3 linked regions of the Rattus norvegicus genome follow. The protein of the gene in region 3 interacts with the protein of the main gene of each other region in a pairwise test. Links are inferred from orthologs where the notes say so. Each region holds a gene or a part of one and is shown on either strand. Other genes may lie near its edges.

Evidence for each region. The genes of interacting proteins can lie anywhere in the genome.
Region 1: the proteins of Ntaq1 (region 3) and Nt5c1a interact in binary tests that used the Homo sapiens proteins (3 or more experiments, as listed by UniProt). The two-hybrid records come from large-scale screens. The link is inferred for Rattus norvegicus from reciprocal best matches to the Homo sapiens genes NTAQ1 and NT5C1A.
Region 2: the proteins of Ntaq1 (region 3) and Vcp interact in binary tests that used the Homo sapiens proteins (3 or more experiments, as listed by UniProt). The two-hybrid records come from large-scale screens. The link is inferred for Rattus norvegicus from reciprocal best matches to the Homo sapiens genes NTAQ1 and VCP.

What each region holds. Positions count from the first base shown.
Region 1 is NC_086023.1:140,770,262-140,774,773, reverse strand, and holds the end of Nt5c1a (cytosolic 5'-nucleotidase 1A), read right to left. Parts: intron 3,851-4,512; coding exon 3,666-3,850; intron 1,765-3,665; coding exon 1,408-1,764; downstream 1-1,407.
Region 2 is NC_086023.1:62,014,481-62,019,730, forward strand, and holds part of Vcp (transitional endoplasmic reticulum ATPase), read right to left. Parts: intron 4,592-5,250; coding exon 4,449-4,591; intron 3,993-4,448; coding exon 3,862-3,992; intron 1,804-3,861; coding exon 1,672-1,803; intron 1-1,671. UniProt on the Homo sapiens protein: Necessary for the fragmentation of Golgi stacks during mitosis and for their reassembly after mitosis. Involved in the formation of the transitional endoplasmic reticulum (tER).
Region 3 is NC_086025.1:91,586,582-91,591,831, reverse strand, and holds part of Ntaq1 (protein N-terminal glutamine amidohydrolase), read right to left. Parts: exon of another isoform or gene 3,740-5,250; coding exon 3,591-3,739; exon of another isoform or gene 3,061-3,590; intron 2,661-3,060; coding exon 2,536-2,660; intron 1-2,535. UniProt on the Homo sapiens protein: Mediates the side-chain deamidation of N-terminal glutamine residues to glutamate, an important step in N-end rule pathway of protein degradation.

The sequences.
Region 1 (4,512 bases), on a different chromosome or scaffold from region 3:
GGCTGCTTAGCAAAGAAGGAGGTGGTCCATCACTCATCAGGTGGAGAAGAAAGGGCTGTAGAGATTCATGCAAAGATGGATCAACCGCGGATATCTCTCAGGAAGGCTGGTTCATCCCAGAATCCTTTGCATAGCACCCTGATGACAGCGTATTACTTCCGGGGTAGCTCTGACTGACTTCTACTCACTCTCCACAGCAGAACCATGCTGGGACGCATTCAACTCATTCCTCCCTAAGCTACCACTTTCTTAGCGTCTTTGGTTTCAGAACAGACCTGATACTTCCCACATCTCACTGTGGCACCTACACCTCAGGCACAGCCTGGACAACGACTCGCTTTAGAGCCTGTGGTTTCTCCATATTTAGGGCTAGAGTTCCTTCTCTGTTAGGAGAACTTCCTTACAGCACGGAAGGTGGAAATGACTGGCAGACCCAGGACTGAGCTGAGGAGACCGGCAGGCAGGACTAACTGAACTTTGCCCTGAAGCTAGAGGCAAAGGAAACCCAGAGTTGGCGAGCCACTGAAGCCTTCTTCAGAGAGAGCCTGCAGTGCCCTCTGCTGGCTAGAGGAGAATCTGCATGTGGGCGACGTTCCTCCCTTCAGTTCTTCAAACACCTTGCATGTAGCAGCTCTCCACGGCTCAGGTTAGCAAATCACAGCAAGCAAAGGGTCACCTTGGGCAGTGGTTTCTAAACATGAAAAAATTATCGAGAGAGAATCTGTGCAGCACTGTGCAGCACTGTGCACACTTCTCATTTGATGGGCCTCGGGGTTGAGGGGCAAAGGGCTGGAATCTAGCCTATATCCCGGCTCGGGCCAGAGGAAGGAAGGGCCATTAGTTTTGTAATGCATTCACTTAGACAGTGTCCTTTTGTAATCCACACAGGTGCCGTGGGTACTAGCAGCCCCAGCACTAAATGATTAATTTAGTGCACAATCTTATAAAACCAAGCTTCTTTGGCTAAAGAACAAATTGAAAGCCACCCAAAAAAATGGTAGTATGCCAAGGCTTATGAAAAAGGGGAACTTAAGTCATGCATCCATGCCAGATCTGCTTTAGATGTTAAATCTACCCACGTTCACACAGTGTTCTTTGCGCTACGTTAGAGATAGTTCTCATCCCAAGCCCTTAGGCATGCTGGCTTCTCTGTCTACACAACTCTCTGTCCCACCAGTTTCTCTCTGACACCCAGGATACTCTGCCGAGTGCTGCTTTCTAGCCAGGGTCATGGCAATGTTTGCCCAGGAGGGATTTCGAGACTGCTGGCTCTGTCTTCCTAACGTTCTAAGAGTACCTGGTACAGAGAGATGAGTGCGGCATGCAGGAGGGTGGACAGTGAGGAGCCTGAAAAGCTCACCAGCCGCGGTTCAGAAACGTGACAGGGCCTGGAGCAAGGTAGCTCAGCTACTGTGCGCCTAGGGACTGCTTTTCCCTCCGTGGATTCTGAGCTACGCCGTAAGGCACGTGGGCGGCCACGGTGCCCATCTCCTGAGCTCCGGCCACGTGAAACATCTGGTCATCAAAGAAGATGTGTGGGCGGATCTTCTCAAGAAGAGGGCCCTTGGGTGCTCCAGCTAGGAATAAGGCCTCATCCGTCTCCAGGCCCCAGCTACGTAGGGTCTTGAGGGCCCGGGCTCCAGAACTGGCTGCGCTGCGCGCTGTCACCAAGTAAGTACGAATCGGGCACTCCAGCCGCAGGCCTTTGGAGTAGAATTTCTTCTGCAGCCTACCTAGTGCTTCCAGGAAGCCCTTTAGGGGACCCTGTGGAGAAAAGGAAACAGAGATGCTGATTAATTCACCTCTCCAAAACATTTTGCCTTTCGTCCTAAAGCATCAGTGATTGGCTGTTGGGGTGGGAAATCCCTAAATCCTTGGGTAGTTTCCGTCTGCCCCATCTGGCGCCTGTGTGCATACAGAGCTGTAGGTACCTTAGTCTGGGGTCGGTCTTAATGTGATTAGGGCTGTTTAAGAATAACCATAACCGGGCTGGAGAGATGGCTCAGTGGTTAAGAGCCCTGTCTGCTCTTCCAGAGGTCCTGAGTTCAATTCCCAGCAACCACATGGTGGCTCACAACTATCTGTAATGAGATCTGGTGCCCTTTTCTGACCTGCATGGTATACATGCAGGCTACATTGTATACATAATAAATAAATAAATGAATAACCATAACCAGGGCAACTGTTGCTATGAATATCCGTTCGTGTGGCCTACAGCAATTCATCCTACAGCTCTGTAAGTGTGGTCTGTGCTCATCAGCAGAGAAGCAATAAGAATGAGCTAGTAATGGTGGCACAATGAGCCAATCAGCACAGACTCCATTCTGTCTGGGAGCATCTGGGCCAGATGTGTAACCACTGACTATGAGCCTGCCTGTGGACAGATGCATATGTGTCTCTGGGGATCAAGCTCTGAGGTCAGGGGAAAGCGCCACTGAGGATCTGTGAGGAGAGAACTGGATGGTACAGAGTGTGGTTCATTTTCAAATCAACTGGAAGCCAGGGACGTAGCCTGCTAGGCTTGGAGGTTTTCCTAGCTTAGGAACCTGGGGTAAGCTGCGTTCTGTTAACCACCTAGTGGGAAAGTGCACTGCTCTGGCTCCCAGATTCCTGTAAAAGCTCAGACTGGAGTTCCCAGTGGAGCTAGGGAATCCCCTTACCCCCCCCTCCCCGCACACAGACAGGTGAGGTTCCCTGAGCCACTTAAGGAATGACAAGAGGTGGCCCAAGGGGACCCACAGCCCTCGCTCCCTATGATGGTGTAATATGGAGCTCCTCTTGTCTCTCAGTGAGGAAGCAGGAGCTTCTGGCAGGATGGGGCCTTACTCAGGAGGGTATCCCAAGAGAGAGCTGAGGGTCACAGGGAAAGGACAATGGACTAAGAGGGGTGTGTGCGTGCATGCGTGTGTGTGTGTGTGTGTGTGTGTGTGTGTGTGTGTGTGACAGAGAGAGAGAGAGGGGGGGGAGAGACAGAGAGACAGAGAGAGATGGACAGAGACAGAGAGACAGAGAGAGACGGACAGAGACAGAGAGACAGACAGAGACAGACAGAGACAGACAGAGACAGAGAGACAGAGAGAGACGGACAGAGACAGAGAGACAGAGAGACGGACAGAGACAGAGAGACAGAGAGACGGACAGAGACAGAGAGACAGAGAGAGACGGACAGAGAGAGGTTTTTGTGGAGTTGGGACTTGGAACTTTAGAGAGGGTTCAAGATTCAGAATAGGGCCTGGGGGCTCCTGAGACAGCGTTTGGAGGAATAAAAACAGAGAGTCAGGGAAGGCTTCGGTGAGGTGCTTGGAGAGATGCTGGAGACCCAGGAGGTGAAGCACTGGCACTTGAGTGAGGAGGTGGGACTTAGTGAAGGGGTGGGGTCTCAATGAAAGGAGCAAGGAGCCAAGTGGGAGAGGTTCAGAGCTCGGGAGGCAGAGGGAGGTGGATCTCTGAGTTCAAGGCCAGTCTAGTTTACAAATCAAGTTTCAGGACACCCACGCCTACACAGAGAAACTTTGATTTGAAAAACCAAGGAGAGAGGAGGCTTGGTTCTTAGTAGGAGAGGGCCTGGTGGGGTGTGGACTTAGCCTGGGTTTGGCCCTGGATTCCGGCCAGTCCAGGTTCTGGGGAATGAGGAGTTACTCAGGAGTTCTGGGAATGCGTGGCACCTGCGCCAAAGGTTTGTTCTCGTGGGCCTTCTCATGCTCAAAGAATCTGTCCAGCCCATGGGCCTTGACAATGCGCTCTGACTCATCGGAGAAAAGTACTGCGTCCCCATCGAAGGCCACGCGGAGCTGACTCTGGGACACGACCACATCCTTGCTAGGGCTGAAGATGGTGGCAGCTGCAATCCCTGGGCAGAGAGAGGTGAACATAGTCTGAGCCTTGGCACAGAAGGTATTCTATGCTATCCTTGTCGCACCAGGACTAACGGGCAAGCCTACCAAGGACTCATTGAAAGCATTTATAAATCGGAAGGGCACAGTTACTGGCCCTAGGAGGCAGTGGCTATGGCTCTGAGGAAGCACCGTGAGGGTCTCTATCAATGTCTGAAGGCTACCTCATTAATATCTCTGTAGGGAGCTCTGGAGGCACCCTTAGGAGGGGCACTGAGGAGCTGCTTATCAGCTAGGATGAGGGAATTACACTGAAGACCATGTTGGTGTGGACCATCGGAGCAACAGTCTTGGCTGGAAGCACAGGTCTCCTACGTCACTGTTCTGTTTGGAGTTCCTCACCCTACATGGAGAACAGATGGGGAAGCACTCCTGTAGGTGTGGTCAGTCCCTCACAATTGATTCCAAGTTACCTACCTCCTCAAGACCAAAGTAAAATTAAAGTTCTTTCAGGTCCGTATGAGGGTGAGCTCTCGGACTGCAGTAGGGGTGGATGGATGTGGACACCCTGACTACAGCCACTAAGCGTGCGGGTACATTGAAGTCACTGTGGCCCAGGCTGTGAGATAGTGTGTTTAGTCCTAGGAGGCAGCATAAGCCACATGTGATAACAGACATA
Region 2 (5,250 bases), on a different chromosome or scaffold from region 3:
GCTCAGCATTTAAGAGCACTGGCTACTCTTCCACTGATTGTGGATGTGGCTGACAACCACCTGTAACTCCAGTTCTAGAGGATCTAGCTGATGTCTTCTTCTGGTCAGTTGTAGATACTGAAAGCTTGTGGTGTCTACATATACATTAACGAAACTAACAGCCACACACATAAAAAAGAACACACAAGCCTTTGAGACCCGTTTATAAACCCAGCTGAAGAGAATAGTAAGAATTGCATAGTCGAGGCCAGACTGACTTACAATGGGAGACCAAAAGAAAACACAAAGAGCCAGATGTGGTTTGCATCTTTAATCCCAGAACTCAAGGCAGAGGCAGGTAGGTCTCTGAATTTGAGGCTAACCCGGTCTATATAGCGAGTTCCAGGATAGCTAAGGATACATAAAGAAAGAAGCCCTGTCTGCTGCTACACACACACTCTCTCTCTCTCTCTCTCTCTCTCTCTCTCTCTCTCTCTCTCTCTCTCTCTCCCTCTCTCTCCCCCTCTCTCTCCGTCCCTCCCTCCCTCTCCCCCTCCACCCCCTCTCTCCTTGGAAATAAACACTAACATTTATAAACTCAATTTGCATAGGAGACTAATAGTGAACAACCTTAAAAAAAAAAAAGAACCACCTTTAAAAAGTCACACCTGGGGGACTTTACAAACTGGAAGGACAGTGAATAATAAGTTATTATGCCAAGGCCTCAATAATTTCCCTTTGGACAAACCAGGATGCAAGGTACTTACTACTAAAGCAAGGTCTGTTTTTCAGGGTTAGAGCTCTTCACTCATGTGTTTACAACCTTTTAGGACAGTGGTTCTAAATCTGTGGGTCACGATCACTGGAAAACACCTATTTCTGATGTCTTAGGATTTCCCAACCGTAAGTTTTAATTGCTACTTCATAACTCTAATTTTGCTACTGAGTGGTATTTCCGATAGTTCCTAAGAATTGAACTCAGGATCTCTGGAAGAGCAGTCACTGTTCTAACTGCTGGTCATCTCTCCAGCCCTAGAATGTCTTTTTTTCAAAACAAGATTCCTTTCCTAAAACAGACAAATAGGACTTCTCTGTGCAACCCTGGCTGTCCTGGAACCACTCTCTGTAGATATGGTTGTCAAGTCTCAAATTCATAGATGCGCCTGCCTCTGCCTCAGAGAGAATGAAGGCATGTCTTTTCTTCTAAAATAATCAACTGCACCTTTCTTGTAAGTTGTCTGCAGCCTTATCCACAAGACATTGAAACTGCCCTCAAGACAAAACCACTTGTATGCTTAGTAAGCAAAGTAGTCACACTTCATCTTTAGTGTGTTCTATTACATATAAAAGGTCAAAAAACTATTCTAGACAGGTGGTGGTTCTCAGGTGTTTAACTCAGGATCTGAAAACTCGATTAATTTCCTTCTTTTATTGAGTAATACTCTACAAATATTGGCAAAATTATGGTTAAAATTTTAATACGATCCATGGGAGATCTCATTGTTTAAGCATATTATGTGTGTATACGCGTACATACATATACATGACAATCTATAGCTCTAATGAATTTTTAGAGCCTTCTATAAACCCAAAGATTATTATTGCCCCTTTAAGCCATTTAGGGCATCAGTCACACCATGAGAAAACATTATAGCACTGTCTTAGACTCCCCACAGATCTTAGGATACTCACCTTCACACCAATTGCCTTAAAGAGTGCAGGATGTCTCAGTGGCAGCTCCACCATCTCCTTTATCTGAGCTAGCTGCTTCCTGCAACCACCGATGTCATCATAGCCTACTTCATTCAAGGACTCCTCCTCATCCTGAATATAAAAGAGTATAAAACAACAACAAAAACCAGAATAATATTGTCAGCAAATATACAATTTCTCCAAGTCCTCCCACTATTTGGTATGGAAAAAAATATGTTGTGTGAGAAGATTCTCTTCTGCAGGGATCTTGTCTTAAGCCAGGTAACATGTCTGTAAATTCTGTACTTGGAAGGCAGAAAGACTGGATGTGAGGCCAGCTTAAGCCACAGTGAATTGCAGTCAGCTTATACAGCAATACCCAGTAAAAGGAAAATAAAACAAAGTAAAAACACCCAAACACTGCTCTCTTATGAGCAGTCCTTATTTTACTGAAAAGGGATCCCTAAACTAAAGTTGACCTACACAGAACTGGGTTTATCAACATCCCATCCTGAATGGAGCGGGGTTTGGGAGTTGGTTCATAAAGGCACCACCCTACCCTGAGGTGTGGGGCAAGTGGACTGTACCACCAGACAAAAGAACTGGTAAGGTTGAATGAGCCTAAACCCCATGAAACTCAGAACTGAGAACAGTTGGACTGGAGCCAACTCTGCCTAAACCTGTTCTGGAAGCCCACTGAGAACCGTGGCAATCAGTCACACAGCATAAAGTTCGATAAGCTACTGAGCTATCTAGATAGGCCTTGGGCATTCAATTCAGGAGCTTCCCTTCTGGGGCACTGGTTCCTGAAGAAGGTATTCAATCTCTAGCTCACTCAGATTAAGGTATTGTATTAACATCTGCCATCAAATAAAGCAGTTTGGACAAGCAAGGACCTTCTCTTCGATCAAGGATCTCTGTAGGGGTTGGGGGTCTTTATAACAAACCCTAAATGTCCAGGACTTCTCTCTTCCAGCCCCTCCGTACTCTCAGCACTCATTCGGAATCAAACCAAGTTCCACCTGTCCCAGGCTCTGCCTTTCCCTTCCTGCCTAGCAAGTAGATGTTGCACACCAGAAGTGCCTGGGTACACAGAAGGCCAGAAACCATACCAATAGTCACAAACTCCAGTTTCCCATACAGAAAAAAAACATGGACTGGGACCCCCATTGCAGACTGAGTTCTGCCTCCCGAGTGGTGTGCCAGACAAGCAATCTGGCACTGAGGAGCTGGAAGACAGAGTATTCCTTAGTGGCAGTATAGCCACTGGTAAGCTGTAGCTGTCAGATAGCCTCCCCCACACAAGATCAATTCTAAATAAATTCAGTTGGTCACCAAAGGGAGTGGGGGTTGGGGGTACTGGAGAGATGGTTTAGGGTTAAGAGCACTGGTTGCTCTTCCAGAAGACGTGGGTTTAATTCCCAATACCCACATGACAATTAACTGCCTCTAACTCATCTCAGGGGAGCTAACAGAGACATGTTATATAGACACACATGTAGGCATACTACCCATTCAGGTAAATAAAGGTTTAAAAAAGTTATGAGAGTGGGAAGACTGGGGTGGGATCAGTAGAATTTTGCACACAATGCACATGCTTTAATTCCATCTTGGGAGGCAGAAGCAGGCAGATCACTGTGAATTCTAGGCCAGAGAGAACAACATGAGACCCAGTCTCAAAAAACAAACAAGGGGAATAGGAACGCGATCAAATATAGCCATGTGGGTGCTGGGAATTGAACTCAGGACCCCTTGAAGAGCAGCCAGTGCTGAGCCACCAAGCTATCGCTCATTTACGTTTTTGAGACAGGATCTCACTTCATAGGCCATCCTGCTGGACTCAAACTCACAGCAATCTTCCCACCTCCACCTCCTACGCACCAGGACTATTGGCATGTACCACCACACTTACTGGCAGCCATTTACACCTCTCGGCTTTGTCTTAAATTCGTGGAAGTAGGTTCTTTCAAGAAATACTTAACGTGGTTTTCTACTTCTATTAAGGCCATCTAATCTTGAAAAGTATTCCGTTTGATAAGCAACACAAATGCTACCCGAGTGCCAATGAATTTGGGAGATGAGGATGTATTTCAGTGGTAGGCCTAACATGCACACGGCCCTGGGTTCAATTCCCAGAACCACAAGCAAAAAGCAAAATAAAACCATGGCTGGGATTAGGGAGTAACTCACCTCTCGCTTGATTGGCTCCCCCTCACAGTGGATCACTGTGTCTGGAGCAACAATACAGTAAGGGCTGGGATCTGTCTCTACTACTTTGAACTCCACAGCACGCATCCCACCCCGGACAAGGAAAATATCTCCTATAATACAAAGCAATACATGTGCAATTAGAGGTGTCAAGTACAAGACCACCTGAGACTTCTTCACTAGACCACATGATCTCAAATTCAAAGCTCAGTAGCTATTACTTATGCCTTCCTTTCCCACACCAGGCAATAGTGAAACACAACTCTGTACTATATCCCAGGAATATGACAAAAGCCCCTTTAACTATTAGGGTGTAGACGGCCTAAGCTTTCACTACAACCAACAATGGAAGAGCAATACACTGCCAATTTGACAGCAAAACCACATTACCCTTCAGAAATACATGAGAACTGCTTACTATACTAGAGCACAGAAGGGAGGTAAGAGAGCTGACAATTGAATATGTGTGCAGATTATAGCTATACATAATACTCAGACACATGAAAATAACATGGAATTGTTAAAAGTTTACTCAAGTAACAACTGTTCTTAAACTCAGTTTCTCTCACCTTTACGGATGGGCCGATATGCTTCCAGGAAGTACGGCTTAAGGTATACCTCAAAAAGATTGCCAGTGATGCCTTCCACTGTGTCATCAATGGGTAGCACATGGATACGTTTGCCATACTTTACATCAGGGCATGGCTGGATGCTGAGGATGACAAGCAGACTCCACATTACCAACCACACTGCAGCCCCAAGCACTGGGTGTCCGAAAGGGCCTGGCACAGACCGCTGATGGCAAGCCAAAGAGAAAAGGCAGGGACGGCCTTAGGTGAAGAGAAGGGGGAGAGCAGGGTGGGAGAGACGCAAAGGAACAGCCTCGCAGAGCTAAGACAGGTTACATTCACAATGAGGTAACAGAAGTTCACCCATCACTAAGCCAAAATTAAGAATATTTGGAAGCTCTACGTATGCACAGCCCTACCACTGGAGTCTTCAATACGTGATATCCAATAATAATAATCCTTTCAGCTAGTATCAACCATCTCCTCTCTCTGAAGAACTGAGATTACTGGGAATATAGGTATGTGCTACCATGTCTAGCCTTCTAGTTAATATCTCAGAATTACATGGGGGAGGGGGAACAAGGTTTTATAACTGAATCAAAAAATAATAATCTCGGGGTTGGGGATTTAGCTCAGTGGTAGGGCGCTTGCCTAGGAAGCGCAAGGCCCTGGGTTCGGTCCCCAGCTCCGAAAAAAAGAACCAAATAAATAAATAATAATAATAATAATAATAATCTCAGCCACAATATCAAAATATCATGAGAAAGTGACTAAGCAATCTAAAGAGCGAAGTACTTAAAAC
Region 3 (5,250 bases):
TGGTCTACACACTGAGCTTCAGGCCAGCCAGGAATACATGGTGAGATCCTGTCTAAAATAAGTAAAATAGGGCTGGAGAGATGGCTCAGCCGTTAAAGGCTAGGCTCACAACCAAAATAAAATACGTAAAATAAAAGAGTGTCCTCACTTATAAGTCTAAAATAATAAAAGAGAGGAGCTGGAGAGATGGCCCAGCGGTTAAGAGCACTTGTTCTTGCAGAGGACCCAGGTTTAAGTCCCAGCACTGAGATGGTCACTCACAACTCTAGTTTCAAGACAGCCTCTGTCTCAGCACCACGTGGTGTACACACACACACATGCAAACAAAGCATCCATAGTATAAAATAAAGACATCTAAAAATAAAATTTAAAAAATAAAAGGGAAGGGGGACAACAGTGTAATTATATTTTAATTTTAAAAAAATTAAAAATACCTAAAATTTTAAAATAAACAACAAAAAAAATCTTTGGTTTGTTTGTTTTTGTTTTCCAAGACAGGGTTTCTTTGAGTCTAGCCCTGGCTGTCCTGGAACTTGATTTGTAGGACAACCTGGCCTCGAACTCAGAGATCTTCCTGCCTTTGCCTCCCAAGTGCTGAGATTAAAGGCTTGTGCCACTACAGCCTAGCTAACAAATTTTTTTTTAAAGAAAATAAAATACTTTTAAAATGCTTTTGTTTATCAAGAGTTTCATATGATGTATTTTGGCCATATTCTTTCTCTTCCTACAACTCCTCCAAAATCGCCCCCAAAAAACAATATTCTTGAGAGACAGTGCAGGATTGTTTATGTGTGTGTACGAGGGGTTGTGCTTCGTTCACATAGGTGGAAAACAGAGATGGACATCGGTGTCCTCCTTGGTAGCTCCCCACCCATGTTTTAAGAGAAGGTTTCTCATAGAACCTGGGCTTCACTGGTCTAACTAATGTGGCCAGCTTCAGGGATCCACCCCTCCTGTGCTAGGATTAAAGATGCCACCACACCTGCCTTTTGTGTGGGCACTGAAGATCCCAACTCAGCTGGGCTGTACTGGCACACACCTTTAACCCCAGCACTGGGAAGGCAGAGGCAGGCAGGTCTGTGAGTTCAAGGTCAACCTGGTCTATGGAGTGAGTTCCAAGACAGCCAGGGCTATAGAGAAAAATCTCTGCTCCAGGAGACAGGGGGATGGGGGGAGTGTAGATTCAAATCGGGTCCTCATGCTTGTTCGGCAGGCATTTGACCAATCTAGCCATCTTCCCAGCTCGCATTACAGATTACGTTTATATGTGCAGAAGCTAGCTAAAGCTTAGCATGGCACCTAGAGCTACCGGCTGATAAGGCCACATGTGCTATGACCTACTGTGCACTGAGTTGCAAAGAAAAGGACCAAGTCCTGATAAGACCGTGTGCTAATTATCAACCGAGTACCAGGCTGCAGGAATCCACATCTACACAGGAAATGGGTCCCCCGGAAGGCACTAGGTGCCCAGGCTAGCCCCAGGGTACCCAGTCACCTCCCCCCACCACCCCAAGGCACTAGGTGCCCAGGTTAGCCCCAGGGTACCCAGTCACCTTTTCCTAACACAGCTCTCATGGCTGTCATGGGAAAGCTAGGGTAAGACAAGAGGAAGCAATTACAGTTTTTGTTGTGGTTTCTTTCATTATCTTCTTGCTGAGACTTGAGAACCCTCATTAAGAGTCCATGCCCTTCAAATACGTTAGCTGTTTTATGCTTTCTTCCCTAAAGAGCTACTGATGACCTTGCCCTGTTTCTGAAGAATCCTGCATAGCCTACAGGCCATTTTCCTGCAGACCACATTAGCCATGTGATGGGATGATCTCACCCATAACTGGAATGGTGTGAACAATTTACAGTCACAGACAATGTCTCGAAAGCATATGAGTACGGAACAAAAGTAAACAGAGGGAACAGCCTGCTCTGTTAACTCTCAGGGCGCCCTCAACTGGACTACTGCCGAGAAGCACAGAAAGGAAGTGTCACGATAAAACTCTCTGAACATAGGTTTATTACAGGGTTACTAAAATGACACCTCACACACTGGGAGGATGCACCGGGGATTTCTTTTAGCAGTGAATAAAACCCCAGCACAGCCATGTGCTACTGATCCCAGTAGGACACACCGGTGTGTAAACATCCCAGCAGACGTTTACAACAACAAGCAGTTGGCTACTGCCATGGCTTCTGTTCCTCTGTTCGGACTCTCCCCAAGAAGGCTTTTGCCTTCCAGTCCTGTTCTCTGTGCCTTAACTGCTGAATCCAGGAGGTACAGAGGACGGGTACCCTCATTTATCCTCACCACTTGGGGAGCTTCTCCAAAGATGGCTAGACAGGCAGAGGTGGCTCATGCCCTTAGTGCCAGCACACAGGAGGCAGAGGAAAGAGGATTTCTGTGAGTTAGAGGCCAGCCAGTCTGGTCTAGAGAGCGAGCTCCGAGACAGCCAAGGCTACACAGAGAAACCCTGTCTCAAAACTAAACAAGCCGACTAAGAGAGACACAGATCTGAGCAATGAACAGGCAAAGTCACAGCTCACCTCCAGTTTCAATGCAGGGGTACTCTGGAGGGGGCTCTCTCCAGTTCCCACTCGAGTCCTTCATGTGAGACCGGTCAGAAGCAAAGTTCTTCAAGTAGGAGTCAGCACGAACCACTCTGAATTTCCTGCGGGTAAATCAACACACGTTTCTATCAGGGAGTTATCACCGCTGGCAATCCAACTCATTGCTAACTGGACTCTGTTCTATGAGATACACAAGGCTACTCCTGAGTTTCCACACCGATACGAATGCATGCACATGTGCGTGGCTAGTACAAGCGGAAGGGAATGACTGAAACCCCAAGCTGTGAAAATACAGAGAGCAAATCACCCAGTTGTTCTTATTTACACATAAGGGGTCCAGCATTCTAGTAACACTGCACAGAAGGGGCAAAGGGTAGGACTTTTGCTGTTGCCTTGCAACTTTCTTGATTTTGACAACATTGGCCATGCTGACACTCCAGCAACAAGAGAAAAACCCTCAACACATCTGAAAGAAAATGTTGAGCTCATCACACTTTTTTCTTTCTTTCTTTTTTTTTTTTCAGAGCTGGGGACCGAACCCAGGGCCTTGCTAGGCAAGCACTCTACCACTGAGCTAAATCCCCAACCCACACTTTTTTCTTAACACGTGTGTGTGTGTGTGTGTGTGTGTGTGTGTGTGTGTGTGTGTGTGTTTATGGTCAAAGGTAATCTATAGATATCAATTCTTTCTTTCCACCCTGTGAATCTCAGAGATGGAACCTGGGTCTTCAAGCTTGGCTGGTCCTCAGCACACTGATATTTATAATGCCGCCAACCCTTTGAATGACGAGGAACCTTTAAAGCTTTAAGATGCTCTTAAGCTCTTGCATAACAGGCACACCAATAATGCAGAAAGAGGAGGGTGGAGACAGAGGAGAAGGGAGAGGAAGCGCAGAGGGGGAGGGGAGAAGAGAGAAAAAGACTGAGAAAAGGAAAGGGAGGGAAAGGAGGAAGGAGGCAGAGAGGGGACTTCTGTGTAATCACCAAGTCTTACTTCAGAAAATCAGTAGCTTGGTACTGAATTTCCTCACCTCCTAAACTGTGGATGAATGTCATCATCAGACTTAAGGGCATCTTCTATGTAAATGTCGAAAGGGCAGGGAAATGGCAAAATAGTATCAAGGTCATAAATGAAGCTCTGTCCTTCCCTTGACACATGAAGCAGAACGACATGATAATCCTAGGAATAATAATCACTGAGGTTAACCCAGTTAGTGCAGGACGGTCCATCCCAACATCACGGTCAGCACACAGCAGCACATTAGCAGGGAAGCAGCCGTCGGCCTAACGTCCTCTCCTTGTAACTCCTAAGCTAAATGAGAGGAAACACAAAGCCGCAACTCTGAAAAGTGGCCAGTGACTGGGACACGGCTAAACAATCAGTGTGTGACACACTGTTCCGTAACACCCCATGTTCTATAGTTGGACAGAAAAACTGATTGTAGGACGCAGATGTATTTTGTATTATATTTCAAGGTTTGAGCATGTAAAGATCAAAATGTGCATTAAGAAGCATATACTTATTCACATGCATGAATGCAAAAGAAGGCTTCAAAGGTATCTTCTACACTTCGGATCTTCACTACCCATTCACCCTCACCCCCAGGGGGAAAAAAAAAAAAAAAAAAACCTTGTATTGAAGGCTTACTTATCAGGGTGGCAATAGAGAGGCAGTGGAAGCTTCAAGTGGTGAAGCCAGAATGGGTGTGGTGACACACACTTTAATCCTGACACTCAAGAGGGAGAGGCAGGTGGGTCCCTGCGAGTCCAAGGCCAGCCTGAGGTACATGCAGAGTTCCAGGCCAGTCAGAACTACATACTGAGACCTTAAAAACAAAAACACAGTGAAGCCTAGTGAGAAGTGTCCTGGTCACTGGGGGTGTATCCTTGAAGGACATTAGGAGCCCAGCCCTTTCCTCTTCTTCCTCTCCTTGGCCATAAGACAAACAGCTCTGCCCCACCACATGTCTGTGCCTCAGTACAGGCGCAAATGCAGAGCCAAGCAGTCATGGACTGAAACCCAAAATGAGCACAAAATAACCTCTCCTCACCGTGATTCGTCCCCTGTACCATTTACAGCGACAGGAAGTGAGTGGCCCTCCAAACTGCTAAGTAGGGGTTTCCCGAGGTGAGGGCAAGGAAGAGCATGACTTTCCAATTTGTATTACTTTTCTAATTTAAAAAAAAAAATTAAACCAAAAAAGGAAAAGAAAAAACAAACAAAGCAGCCAACCTTTCATGTGCTTGGGAAGGATCTCATCTCAAGGGAGAAGGATAAAGACAGTTCTCACAGCCCTGCTGGTTACAGAATGGAGGCTACCTCTTACTCTCCAGATACAAGGCACTGCCAGCACCAGCTGATGGCAAGGAGGACATAGGACTCTCAAGGGACAGGTATGCAGGCTGGTGCTTCAAACCCAGGAGAAAATGTTGCAGGAGAAAACGCACCAGAACACCCGTTGAGCGTACAAGTGTGCTAACAGCACCTGGAGTTTCCTCAGCGTGTCTCAGCGTGCTAACACTTTCCCTGATGAGATGAAGAGATAATCAACACAGGGGACACTGTGTGCCCAGTGCTCCCTGCAGCTCCAGCTCCAACTGAGGAAAGTAGAAATGGATCTATCAAACAAGTACACTCCCTCCCTTCAGATGAGTTAAGAGCTGCTGCCCACTAACAGCCCCACTTCCTCC